2 linked regions of the Danio rerio genome follow. The protein of the gene in region 2 purifies or fractionates together with the protein of the main gene of each other region. This does not show direct contact. Links are inferred from orthologs where the notes say so. Each region holds a gene or a part of one and is shown on either strand. Other genes may lie near its edges.

The links. Proteins that work in one complex are often made in the same cells at the same time.
Region 1: the proteins of dcaf11 (region 2) and cul4b purify together in Homo sapiens (affinity purification with mass spectrometry; 9 studies listed by BioGRID and IntAct, counting the BioPlex papers as one, with this or other methods). This does not show direct contact. The link is inferred for Danio rerio from reciprocal best matches to the Homo sapiens genes DCAF11 and CUL4B.

The regions. Positions count from the first base shown.
Region 1 is NC_133189.1:38,066,382-38,072,343, reverse strand, and holds part of cul4b (cullin-4B), read right to left. Parts: intron 3,534-5,962; coding exon 3,418-3,533; intron 3,340-3,417; coding exon 3,236-3,339; intron 1,729-3,235; coding exon 1,659-1,728; intron 1,564-1,658; coding exon 1,490-1,563; intron 1,354-1,489; coding exon 1,191-1,353; intron 1-1,190.
Region 2 is NC_133199.1:14,441,813-14,448,415, forward strand, and holds the start of dcaf11 (DDB1- and CUL4-associated factor 11), read right to left. Parts: upstream 4,460-6,603; 5' UTR 4,249-4,459; intron 2,248-4,248; 5' UTR 2,237-2,247; coding exon 2,061-2,236; intron 1,930-2,060; coding exon 1,802-1,929; intron 801-1,801; coding exon 682-800; intron 7-681; coding exon 1-6. UniProt on the Homo sapiens protein: May function as a substrate receptor for CUL4-DDB1 E3 ubiquitin-protein ligase complex.

The DNA.
Region 1 (5,962 bases), on a different chromosome or scaffold from region 2:
GTGGTCAGAGCGCCATGCACCACGGCTGTCATAAATCACAAACGATCAGGGTTTTTTTTTTTTTTTTTTTTTTTAATCACAGGAGACATTTTAGGTCTCAAATGCCGAAATACACCACGGTTGTCTGTGAAAAGGGTAATAATGATATAAGCATGATCTGACAACGGGCTTACTTATGCAGCACTCAAGTGTGTGGATAATTAGACATGTGCTCTCCGTAATGCACTTTTGCGTATGCGGGTCAGTTTAGGACCATGATCTGTTCACACTGCAAATCTGATATTGGCCACATTTACAAGAGCATTGCAAACAGCCATGCAAAAAAATCAGATCTGAGAAGAAATCTGATTTGAGCACTAAGCCTCACAATGTGAATGTAGCCTTGGATGGTCTACTTAAAGTTTATTAGTAAAATAATAACTTTCATTAATGCTTTAAAAATATGCAACATGTGTTTTTAATAAAAAATGTTATATGACATAATATTGAGTACTCTCTATTTAAAAGCTTCAACAAAACTGTTTAAGCTGAACATTGTAACAAACAAAACATTTAAATAAACTTGGAAACATTAATATTATTTTGGCAGGTTTCATCAAGTCAAATTTTAGGACTTTAGGACCATTTTAAGGCCATTATGAACAAAATTTTAGACTTGTAAAGAGCTAAACACTTTTTGATTTTTGTAATGGTCCTGTTGGACTATAATTATTTCTTAGCCACATATTTTAATGTCCATTTTTTTCAACATATTTTTAACCAACTGCATTTTAGTTATAAAACCCTAGGTTTCATGCCTATTTATAAATATTACATCCACTCCTCCTTCTGTAAATAGTTTTTGTATAAATGGAAGATCATGTAAAGGGATATTTTGCCATGAGAAAATTATTTTCCTGATAGACAATCTTCTGTAAAAATGTCTAATAGCTGTTTTGACTATATCTTTGCAAAAAAAACCCTTTTATTTAAATATATTGTTGGTAATTGGATGGGTGTTGGCCTAATTGGGTAGTTTTAGTTGGACAGAGGAAAATTAAGAGCTTTTTTAAATGATTAATGACCTACAACAATATTTCAGTAAATTTAAGACTTTTTAAGGCCTAAAATTTAGCTTTCAAAATTTAAGACATTTTAAGAGTCCGCAGGCAGCCCAATTTAAGCCCAAACTTTAAATAAATTGTCCAAACCTGCAGGTCAGAGAGCATGCTCAGAAGACTCCTCAGAAGACTGCGGTCTACAGCCTCGCCGCTTCGCTCCCTCTCAATAAGAAGCAGAATCCCATCGATTGTCTTACTCTGCACCTTCAGGTCGCTGATGATATAGAAACGAAACAACTCCAAGCCCATGTCCCTGAAGATGAAGCACAAGAGTACCTTTAATCACCAGTAGCAGGAGCAGTAAAGCACAGGTAGTAAATAAAGACAGCAGCAAGGGTGACAGTGCAAGTGTTACAAATTTAATATCCTTCTGCAAGAGAGACACTCACCAGATTGATGGCAGCATAGAATTTTGTAAAACATATGTGCGATCCAGAAACAAAAATATACTCCTAATCATGATCTAGAAAACAGAGAATGCAAGCATTTCATTAAACAAAGACATCAAATTTTAACAAAAGCAGAATTAAAGATATCTAGAGTAAATTACTGACTGACCATTTGTCTGCAGTGATCTTGCCAACATTTGTCTATTTTCTTGAGGAACAGAACACTGTCTAGGGCATCCGTAAAGCAAGAGTTAAGAAATTCTTTCACACCACAGTTATTGTACATCAAAATTAGCTTGGGATAAACAAGACAGTCTAAATAAATGACCATTCACCTAAAATTATTTCAGAATTTCTCAGAAATGTTACCCTACAAATTTAAATAATAAAGTATGTCAGTTTTCTAGCAAAAGTTTTTTTGAGGTCAAAATTAAAAAGTAGAGATTTTTTTTTTATTTGACTGAATCTTATTTTAACAAATAATTTAACTGAACATTATTTTTATAAAGCAAACATATTTTTGGCACACAAGCTACCTTGCAAACTTGCAAAATGACTTTGTGTGTGTAATTTTGTGTTTGTTATGCAGAACCACTCACCTACAAATCCCTAAGTCAAACTCTCAATCAAAGGCCCGATCCCAATTTTATTTTTGTACCCCTACCCCTTCCCCTTGGCCCCTAAAAAAGGGGAAGGGCTTCAAAATGTACCCCTAAGAATTGGAACAGCACGACAACACCTGCACACGCCATCATATGTCATAGCGATCTCTTGCTTCATATGAGATTAGACGATCGTGACTGCTGTATTTATTCCAGTTGTGTTATTTTTTGGTATTTATCTTCAGGAAATCACTGAAGGCATATATCAATGTTATCATAACAATATAATGTGGCAATAAGATTGTAACTATACTGCGCATTTATACCATGGCCATATTTTTACATATGTAAACACACCAAAAACAACATCAACATTATAGCAGACGCTGTAAAAAGCTCATTCCCAGCCACTAGACTTTTTTTACAGGGTACTCGAATGTCATCGAGTGTCAGAATGTTTGGAGGTAGAATTGGGATTGGGCCAAACTGAAATGATGAATTATTTCCAAATAGAGTTACTAGAGTTTTCCTGTGAATTTATATTCATATCGCAACAAATATAGCAGAAAAACTAAATAATGTCCATTTTTCCAATGTCGTGCAGCCCTATTGCAAACATTTTTTTGAAGAAAAACAAATACGTACTTTCAGCACTGATGTTAAATGAAAGCTTTTTTATATATAAAATTTTTGAAAAATATTTATTAAATAAGCATAATGAATAATATTTAAAATATTTATAACGCAACATGATTTCTGAAGGATCATGTTAATACTGAATAAAGTATTAATGCTGCTTTAAATTCAGAAAGTTTCTATTTCAAAACATACATTAAAATAAGGTTTTTAAATGAAAATGTCATTTTATATTAAATGCTATAAATGCTTAAATGTGAAAATACAACCTTGCTGTAATTAAATGTAAATATGTGAAAACTTTGAAAGAAGATTCTTTCAAAAATATGATGTACCCCAAACGCTTGAACGAGAGAGCATAATAACACTATGTTAATTAAAAAGAAAAGCAGAACTATTGGCCTGCAGATTTGTGTATGTTGAGCCCAGGTTTGTGCTCTTCTCTTTTACTCAAAATCTAACATTCCAGCAGATTAATAAATACAAAGTGTAGCAAGGAAAAGGATATTCTCTGAACTGGTCAATCTGTGCCTTGATGTGGTCTTCACAAACCACTCTGAGCTGTTTATACAGCTTGGCAGATATCTTATGAGAGCACAAGTTTTCAACAGCCTGAAAGAACAAGTAAACATTAGATTCCACGTATAATATTACAAAAAAATATTAAAGCTAGTTTATTATAGCACCGACCTGATAGAGCTCCTCTAGATTGTACTTTATTGAAGTGCTGTTCTGTATGGCCTCTACTGCCTCCTTTAGTTTCTGCCAGGTCTCATTTGTGTAATTCTCTGGTAATTTGGGCTTTTCTGAAAATGTATAACATTATATAAAAAAGGAGATGAGTAAAAACAGTAAGCACACAATGTCAGGATTTGGTGATCCAGGGTTAAGGTAAAAAAGTTCCATAATATTAAAGCATATAGTCAAAGGGTCACGAAACACCAAAGAGCATTTGACTACAAAGTTAAAAATGGTTGTTTTTGCGCTGTTTGGAGAAAATTTGTTCTTCCGATTTAAAAAGACATTTTAAAGCGATGTCACAGCGATAAGATCATTGTGTAAATTCCAGCATAGAGATTGGCTGTCTGTACCGGCTGGTACAAAGCGACGTTGAGTTTTCAGCACATCTGTCTATTAATTCATGAGAAAGACTTGGTTTGAACCAATCAGCGCACTCTATTGTGAATGAGATGCGACTTCATTAATATGCATGATATAGCTTCGAAGACTCATTTAACCTGTTACAGAATTTAGAGACACCAAGTTGTGTTGCCAACCCCATTTCAAACAAGTAGTAACAGAAGAATTGTTCAGAGACATGGGTCAACAGTGTTGCATTTATAAATGTGCCGCGACAAAAGTTTTGTTTCCGTTTTCCCATAATGAAAGCACTGATCGCATAGAGACCCATATGTGTGGATTACAGTGGTCTTCTAACACGTGACAGAATGGAATATGTTTGTAAGGAACATTTTTTACCCGAGACCTTTTTGAATCTGGAAATGTTGAAATCCGGATTTTAAAAATGATGCGTTTCCAGTTGGTGTTGATTGTCCTGTCTCTACATATTTGGTAAGTGTACGATCAACGTTCTTTGTTTATGTTTATTTAGATGGCAAAGTCAGTTAGTATCGTCAGCAGTACTAATTCAGTTTTTGAAGACATACCATAGTCAAAATGATTTATTTTCTATGTTTACAGTAATATCACTACAATATTATGGACTGAAAATCCTCCACTTCCACACAGCTCTCAGATCTGCTGTAAATGTTGCTCTCCGAATCACTGTCTATCTCCCCTGCGTTTGTGTTGCCGCTGTGAAAATTAGTGTGTGCATGTAGCGAAACTCTCCTTTTTATGCAAACCCTTCCCTCTTTTGGCACTCAACACTCCCACCTAAACACATCTGGACCCACCCACTTTCCTGGCTTTTTTCAAACTCGTGGTGTGAAAACAACCTGCTGAGAGAGAGGACTTTCGTGGCCCTTAAATTAATAAAACTGCTGCTTCTCTCTGTTCAGAGATATGACAAATTATGCATGCACTGCAGCAGGGACTTGCCCCACAGATCCAAAATAGTCCTAATATAAACACTTATCAGAGATTTATAACACTTATCACAGGCCCCCAGAAGACAAAGGATTCTCATTTTGAAAAAAAAAAAAAACGTATTTAATGTGCAATTATTTATATTTAGAATTAGATTCAAGTGAAGTAAATCCGATTTCAGTTGTTGCACTATTAAACTATTTGTTTTTTAGCGTTATGTTCGACATTGTGTTAATATTTAAAAGTACAGTGCTCAGCATATGAGTACACCCTTCACAAATCTCTCATTTAAATTAATATGTCCTGTAGGATGCTTTACAATATTATATTTGTGCATAAACATTAGTTTAGTCAGTACTGATTCCAAATCTGGAGCAAATCCAACAAAATAACTTACAATAAAGGTTTAAAAATTAGTAGCCCAAATTGATATGTTAGGGAAAAATATTAAACAACATATAATATTTTGAACAACTTTGTTGAAATGTTGTAGTTTGTCATTTTTTTTTTTTGCAATACTTTGAATGAATTTAATTGTATTGTCTTTCCATTTCTAAAGATGTTCTTTGACTAAAAAAAATAATTTAATAAATATATCCGTTTAATAAATCTGTTTTGTTCAAATGCACCAATGTTTATTACCCATATTCACTGGATGAAAATAGATAATATTTCTCACATGTACTCAATTATGCTGAGCACTATACATACATGCGAACTAGTAATTATCCCAATAATGCTCAATTATAAGGAACATAATTATAATTAAGTTTCAAACTTATGGCTACTGAGATAAAAGATGCACCTAACATTTGATACAAAATACTTAAAATAAAATATGCTTTGCTCGTAAAAAAAAAAAACTCTGTCAGAGAATGAGCCTCGGAATAGTGACAAACAGCACCATACACTCTAAAAGCACAAAACATTTTAGTAACAATGTACAATGTTTCATTTGTTGACATTATTACAATTAATTTAAAATATGTTAGCATGAACCGGTTATATTTGTAGAACCAGAAATATTGCAACATTTATTATTATGCTAAATTTTAATTCCATCTAGTTTCTCCATCAAAAATTAGCAAAACTTTGTTAGCATTAGTTATTGCATTATGAGCATTTTTATAAACATCAACTATGATTAATAAATGCACTGATGCTTTTATTTTTAGTTGAATTAATA
Region 2 (6,603 bases):
TTCCCGCTTCAGAAAGAAAAGCACAATTTATATAAAGTTGCACAATTGTGTATTTTATAGAGCAACTTTTTTTAAAAATCATAGCTACTTTGGCATAAATTTCCTGGTTATGTGATCACAAAAAAAGCTAATAAAAAAACACAACTTGCTGTATGATAACTCAATGAACTGCTCAGACTCTATATTGTTATTAAAATTATCTAGTACCTATGTAATCTTTTTCTCAAATGCACTTTTTTTTTATTAACAATATTTTTCTATTTAACTTTCTAGTCTTTTTTAGGAAACCTAAAGGTATGAAACAATTACAATCTCTTCAAATAAATAAATCTTAATAAAATAAAATAAAACACTGACATTTTGGTAAAGAGACTTTCAGAGCAACATCTCAATTAAATTGTCAGATGCTAAAAATATCACAGGTACACCTAAGAATGTGCAGTATATAAAACCACACCATGCACAGACATGCCAAACATGCAGTCTCATTCTTGCAGTTTAATACTCACACACTTTAGCCTGCATAGTATTGTCTATGTTGATTAGGTGTACAGATCTACTATTGATTCCTCATCTGAAATCTGCCAAATTCTGTGATAGAAACTTAATTTTCTGTCAGCGTTATCCACACTGAGGAACTCTTTTACTAATTAAATAAGTACAAACATAGACACAACTTGCCTCAGCCAGCATATGTGTGAAACTGTGTCTGCCCTTTAAGCCAGAGGAAGCAGTAGCCAGTAGGATCTGAGTGTGGATCTCGCTGCGATCCACCTCCTGTGTGTCTGGTTGAGCATCCACTGAGCAAGAATAAATAAGGCATAGTAAATGACCACACACCTGTATATTCAATAGTTTTCACAGCACTATAGGCCAAAGAGGCTATATTAGGCATTTCCTTGAATTTCCTTACTGATATCTTCCCAACAAACTTATGTAGTAGTAATTTCTAAAACTGCTATTTTTCAGTCAGTTATTATTTAATAGTTTATGTGTATTTAGCAACTATAGTAGATAACTGATTTCTACCTGAAAGTTTCAGTAAAGGTCTTTCAGTTTCTTACATGTTATGAACAAATACAGTACAGATTTAAACTGAATGTGTAAAACTCAATCTGAAAAATCTCATCTTTCAAATTCTGTCCAGTTTATGATAAAATTCATCTCAAAATGCTGTTTTGATGCTCCTTGCATTCTTCTTATGTGCAATATAAGTTCACATTTTTTTCCATTTTTGTCAAGCATTTAAGTAAAAAGCATCTGACTTCCAACAGTTTTGGCATCTGATTTCAACAGTTGTTTCCCAGCACTAGTGGTTCACGAGTTAGTGTACTCTCAGTGCTGGGGTGCAGCTGGAAGGCCATCTGCTGCATAAAACATATGCCGCAGTAATTGTTGGTTCATTACAATGTGGCAACCCCTGATAAATCAGGAACTAAAGCAAAGGAAAGTGAGCAAGTGAGTCTCTTGTTAATTTTTAACTTTTAGTATAAATGTATGCAGTTCAAACCATTGCGTAGAACTGTATTTATTATTGAATGCATATAAAGACAAAAACATAATTGATTTAGTAAACCAGTATAATTAAAAAGATATGATTTTTTTCTCCTGGCTGTACCAAAAACGCATCTAAGCATAATGTTTGCATATTACTACACCCTGTGTTTTATCATACCATGTTAATAAAATAAAGTAAAATAAAATAAATAATGCATAATAATTTCTAAACACTGCACTGTAACTTGGGGTGTCAACTAAGTAAAAAAGCATAAATTAATCATGCACACAGTTCATTATTTACCTGGAGGGTCATATCGATGACCTAACCTCCCATCCCAAGCCCCATCACTGTCCTCATCAGAGTCTGAATATGACTGCACAAGCTGTAGGCCTGTTGCTCCACTTCCATGGACCAGACGTACCTGGCCCCTAGAGTAGACAAAAAGGTAAAACAATTTGCATTACCCATGTGGAGGAAATGCAAAGCAGGTTTACAATATGTTCCAGGATGTTTTACAGTATCTCCACTATCTCATAGGTTCAGAAGGTTATAGATTTACCTTCGCAGTAAGTACGCCAGAACTTGTGCTAAGTCAACGTCCTCTTCAGATCCTGACTGTCTCTCAGCCTGTGTACGACCCGTCTGATTGGCGTTCTGGTTGGCTTCTGGTTCTGACTGGTCTGGGTTGTTGCCAGAGCCCCGACCGGACATCCCAGAACTGGACTGAGAGCCCATAGACTGATTGTCTGCCAAATCATTGATTTATTCCACAGCAATACAGGCAATTACACTCAAGATGAAAAAGCAAGATATTCTATAAAAGAGTTTCTTCAAGTTTCACCAAGTTAAATGTAAGATTTTTAAGACATTTTTAAGACCGTTATGAGTTAAATTTTAAATTCATAAAGAGCCAAAAGCTTAGGATTTTTTTTATTGCCCAGGAAAAGATTTTTATTTGCCCTATCACTAATATATATTTTAAATAATTTAATAAATTTAATAATACAATAATAAAAAAATAAATTGTTTTATATATTTCTTAACAAGGCGAGGCAGTGGCGCAGAAGGTAGTGCTGTCGCCTCACAGCAAGCAGGTCGCTGGTTCGAACCTCAGCTTCATTAATTCATTTTCTTGTCGGCTTAGTCCCTTTATTAATCCGGGGTCGCCACAGCGGAATGAACCACCAACTTATCCAGCAGATTTTTACGCAGCGGATGCCCTTCCAGCCGCAACCCATCACTGGGAAACTTCCACACACACATTCACACACACACACACTCATACACTACGGACAATTTAGCTTACCCAATTCACCTGTACCTCATGTCTTTGGACTGTGGCGGGAAACCGGAGCACCCGGAGGAAATCCACGCAAACGCAGGGAGAACATGCAAACTCCACACAAAAACGCCAGCTGAGCCGAGGATCGAACCAGCGACCCAGTGACCTTCTTGCTGTGAGACAACAGCACTACCTACCGCGCCACTGCGTCATCTCACTGTCTTTTAAATAACTGTAAATGATATTATGTGCTTAAATAGTAAGAGTTCCAATCATCTGTGTCTTTCAACAATTACAATAGACCAGTAGCTTCCAGCAACAGTCCTGGGCAGCATTTGGTGATAAAATAATTGTGCTGCTTAATATATTCGGAGAAACTGTGACATTGTTTTTAGTCAGGCCATTTTAAAACTGCAAAAGAGCAGGAATTAATTTGAAATACTGTAATTTTACTTTTAATTATTTTAATTAATAAATTAATATTAAAAACATGTTGCCAAGTGAACTTTGATATGGTAGTGTATATGTACACAGTACACTTAAGTGAGTGCCAAAAAAGTTCAACCATTTACAAAACAGGACTTTAGAGAAGCTTTCTTATATATATATATATATATATATATATATATATATATATATATATATATATATATATATATATATATATATATATATATTTGCTAATAGCCATTTTCGTTTCATCCCAGAAATAATTTAGATATTACATAAGAATGAAGTTACATTAAGATATTTCATAAATTTCTATTGTAAATTAATAAAAACTGAATTTTTGATTAGTAATATACATTGATGAGCAATTAATTTAGACTTTGAATGTGATCTTCTTCTAATTTAACTCTCAGATTTTCAAATAGTTGATCCTGAGGATCCTAACAAAGTAAACATTAATGGAAACTTAAATATTATGATTCTGATGACTGACACTTCAGACGATTGCAAAATCGACACTGTTTTGACGGTTTTGTGGTCCAGGGTCACATAAAATAAATGATATATTGCAAACAGTGTTATTTTCCGCTTAAATATGTATTTGTCTGTTCAAAAACATATGTTTGATTAATGCAAAATGAATACCACCAAACTAACATTGATGTAGTTTATCAATTGAAAGGTAGGCCTAAGTCAGTTTTTAACATCATATTGTTTAATTGACTTCATTGAATTATGACATTTAATAAGCGATTAAAAATCAGGACAGTAATTGTTGACAATAGACTGTGATGTAACTTGACAGGTGAGCATGCTAAATTGACAGGCTAAAACTGCAAATGACATATTGCGAACATTTCATATAACGGTTTTATATTTACAGACCAGTAGTTTAAAAAAGAAAGATATAAGATTGTCTACGTATTACATCAAAACAGCACTTAAAACAGCTCATTCTTTAGAAGTTAGCGCTCACGCTAGCACTGTAAGCGACCTACAAAAGAGAGGCACTCACCAGTTAAATGGTAACAGCGCTTTGACAGCTCTTTTACCCGTTGGTTTGTTCCTGCAGACCTCGTTAAAAAAACAGAAAATAGTGTTTGCAAAAACTAAGTTTATATACCTGTACGTTCAATAAGCTTAGCGCCGCTGCTTCCCTGAGTTGTTTTTAAGACTCTCCTGGTTCGTGACGCGCCATGTTGTTTACGGTCTCGAGACTCGCCTGCTCACGTGACACACCGACGCTTTCCCACAGAACAAACACAAAGAGAGAGAATTTTTTTATATAAAGCCTTAATCAATAAGAAAAAAGATTATCATAAGCTTTAAGAAATTCATTATTCTTCTTATTATTAATAAACTTAAGAGATTCAATATTTTACGAAATTATATATTAAATTACTAAATTTAAGTATTAAATATAGTTATTGTTTTTAGGAACTTATTTTTGAGTATAAAAAATTTACAGTGTAACACAAAAAAAATTTACAATAAGATCGAGAGCATGATCATTACCTGAGAAATACAGAAATATATCTTCTATAGACAAATTTAAATCATGGGAATTTGTAGAATATACATAATGCAAGATCTTAAAATGTATCTCTCTTATTTTGTTGGATATGCTGAATTTTTCAGGTAATAACCATGCTCTCTTCAGTCAGAATATATATAATATATTCTGTATATAATATATCAGAATATATATATATATATATATATATATATATATATATATATATATATATATATATATATATATATATATATATAAACAAATGTGGATGCAAATAACCAAATGTGGATGCATTTTTTACAGATAATATTTATTACAGATGTTTAGATGAAACAGCTAAAAACTATATATTTTAGTTCAGAGAACCTACATTACAATCTAGATATAGCTCGATAAATGTGCTACATTTATATACATATTTATAGATAGCTTCCAGTGTATAAAACAGTGTTTTCTTTGTTCTTCATGTATTGTGACTATGAGGTGGTTTGATGCTTGAGGCCCCAATTCCCAAACCCCAAATCACTCATACAATAGTATAGAGATCAGTGAAATTAATCCATTTTGGTTGCACTGAGTTGAGTTGATTTCATTGGTTTGGTGGAGTTGCGCTTAAAGCCAATTCATTCATAGCCCTATTTGCTCATTTGCCAGCCTGTAAAATACTGTAAACAAATTTGACAATTTATAGTTGTCGCAACAATGTTTTCTGTTTATGTACACTTTCAAATTGCTTTATGAGACCTGGTGCTCTGCTCTGACAACATTAATTTTAAAAAATGAACTCTGCAGTTAAACAAAGAGATTTTATTGGAAATTGTAGAAGTGGATAATTTAATCATTTATAGACATCTGAAATGTAAAAAATCATCACAATATAACTTTAATAATGACCTAATTTTCAAAATTAAAAAGATAATTTTAAAATTGATCAAGATAATACAGTGTCAGGGATCACCATAGAGACATTAATAAATGACATTTTTGATATTATGACAAATTATATTCAGATGAAATGACAGTATAAAAAGTGTTGAGTAAAAATAATAAGATTTTGTCATATAAAAAAGAAAAAATATATATACCCCATTTTACCCATTGAACATAAAGTAGCTACAATGCATTTCAGAAATATCCTGTCTTAAATACACCATGTAAAAGAAAATGATAATTAAGAATTAGTTTAAAGATAATCAATTAATGACAAAACATTAAATGATAAACATCAAAACACACAGAAAATTCCAAAATTACTGCAGTTACACAGTTATTTTATAATTGTTTGCCCCATTGATGATAGAATGACGATGGAAGCAGACAGTGCATACAACATTGTAAACATTATGAGATTAAATTACATTACTAAAACATTATTAAATTATGAGATTAAATGATTTTTTAGACCTATATATTTATTTAGATATGTTAGTTGATCGTTCACTTTTCTAAAAGACATATGCATTTATGATTTTAAGAAAATATTTGATGGCATGTGTTTGTTTCAAAACAAGCAAAACATAATAATAATTAATTGTTATAACGTTATCGTGTAGCCAGCCATATAGCTTCAGGAAATATTCTTAATACATTTTTAATGATCAGTGAAATTAAACATTCGTGTTTGTAATTTTAAATGTATTATATACGTCAGTAAAAAGAGGACTTTTATTTATAAGACACACATTTTTTAACCGGAAATAATCAGTTATATCCAGTGCCTGTCTGAGTATCGAAAGTTGTTTTGTTGTTTTAAATTCGTGGTAAGTGCGACTGTTTTACATACGTTATCCTCATAATATATGTGGATATATGATTAAAAGACACATTACGAAAATAAATAATTATACTTAGCGA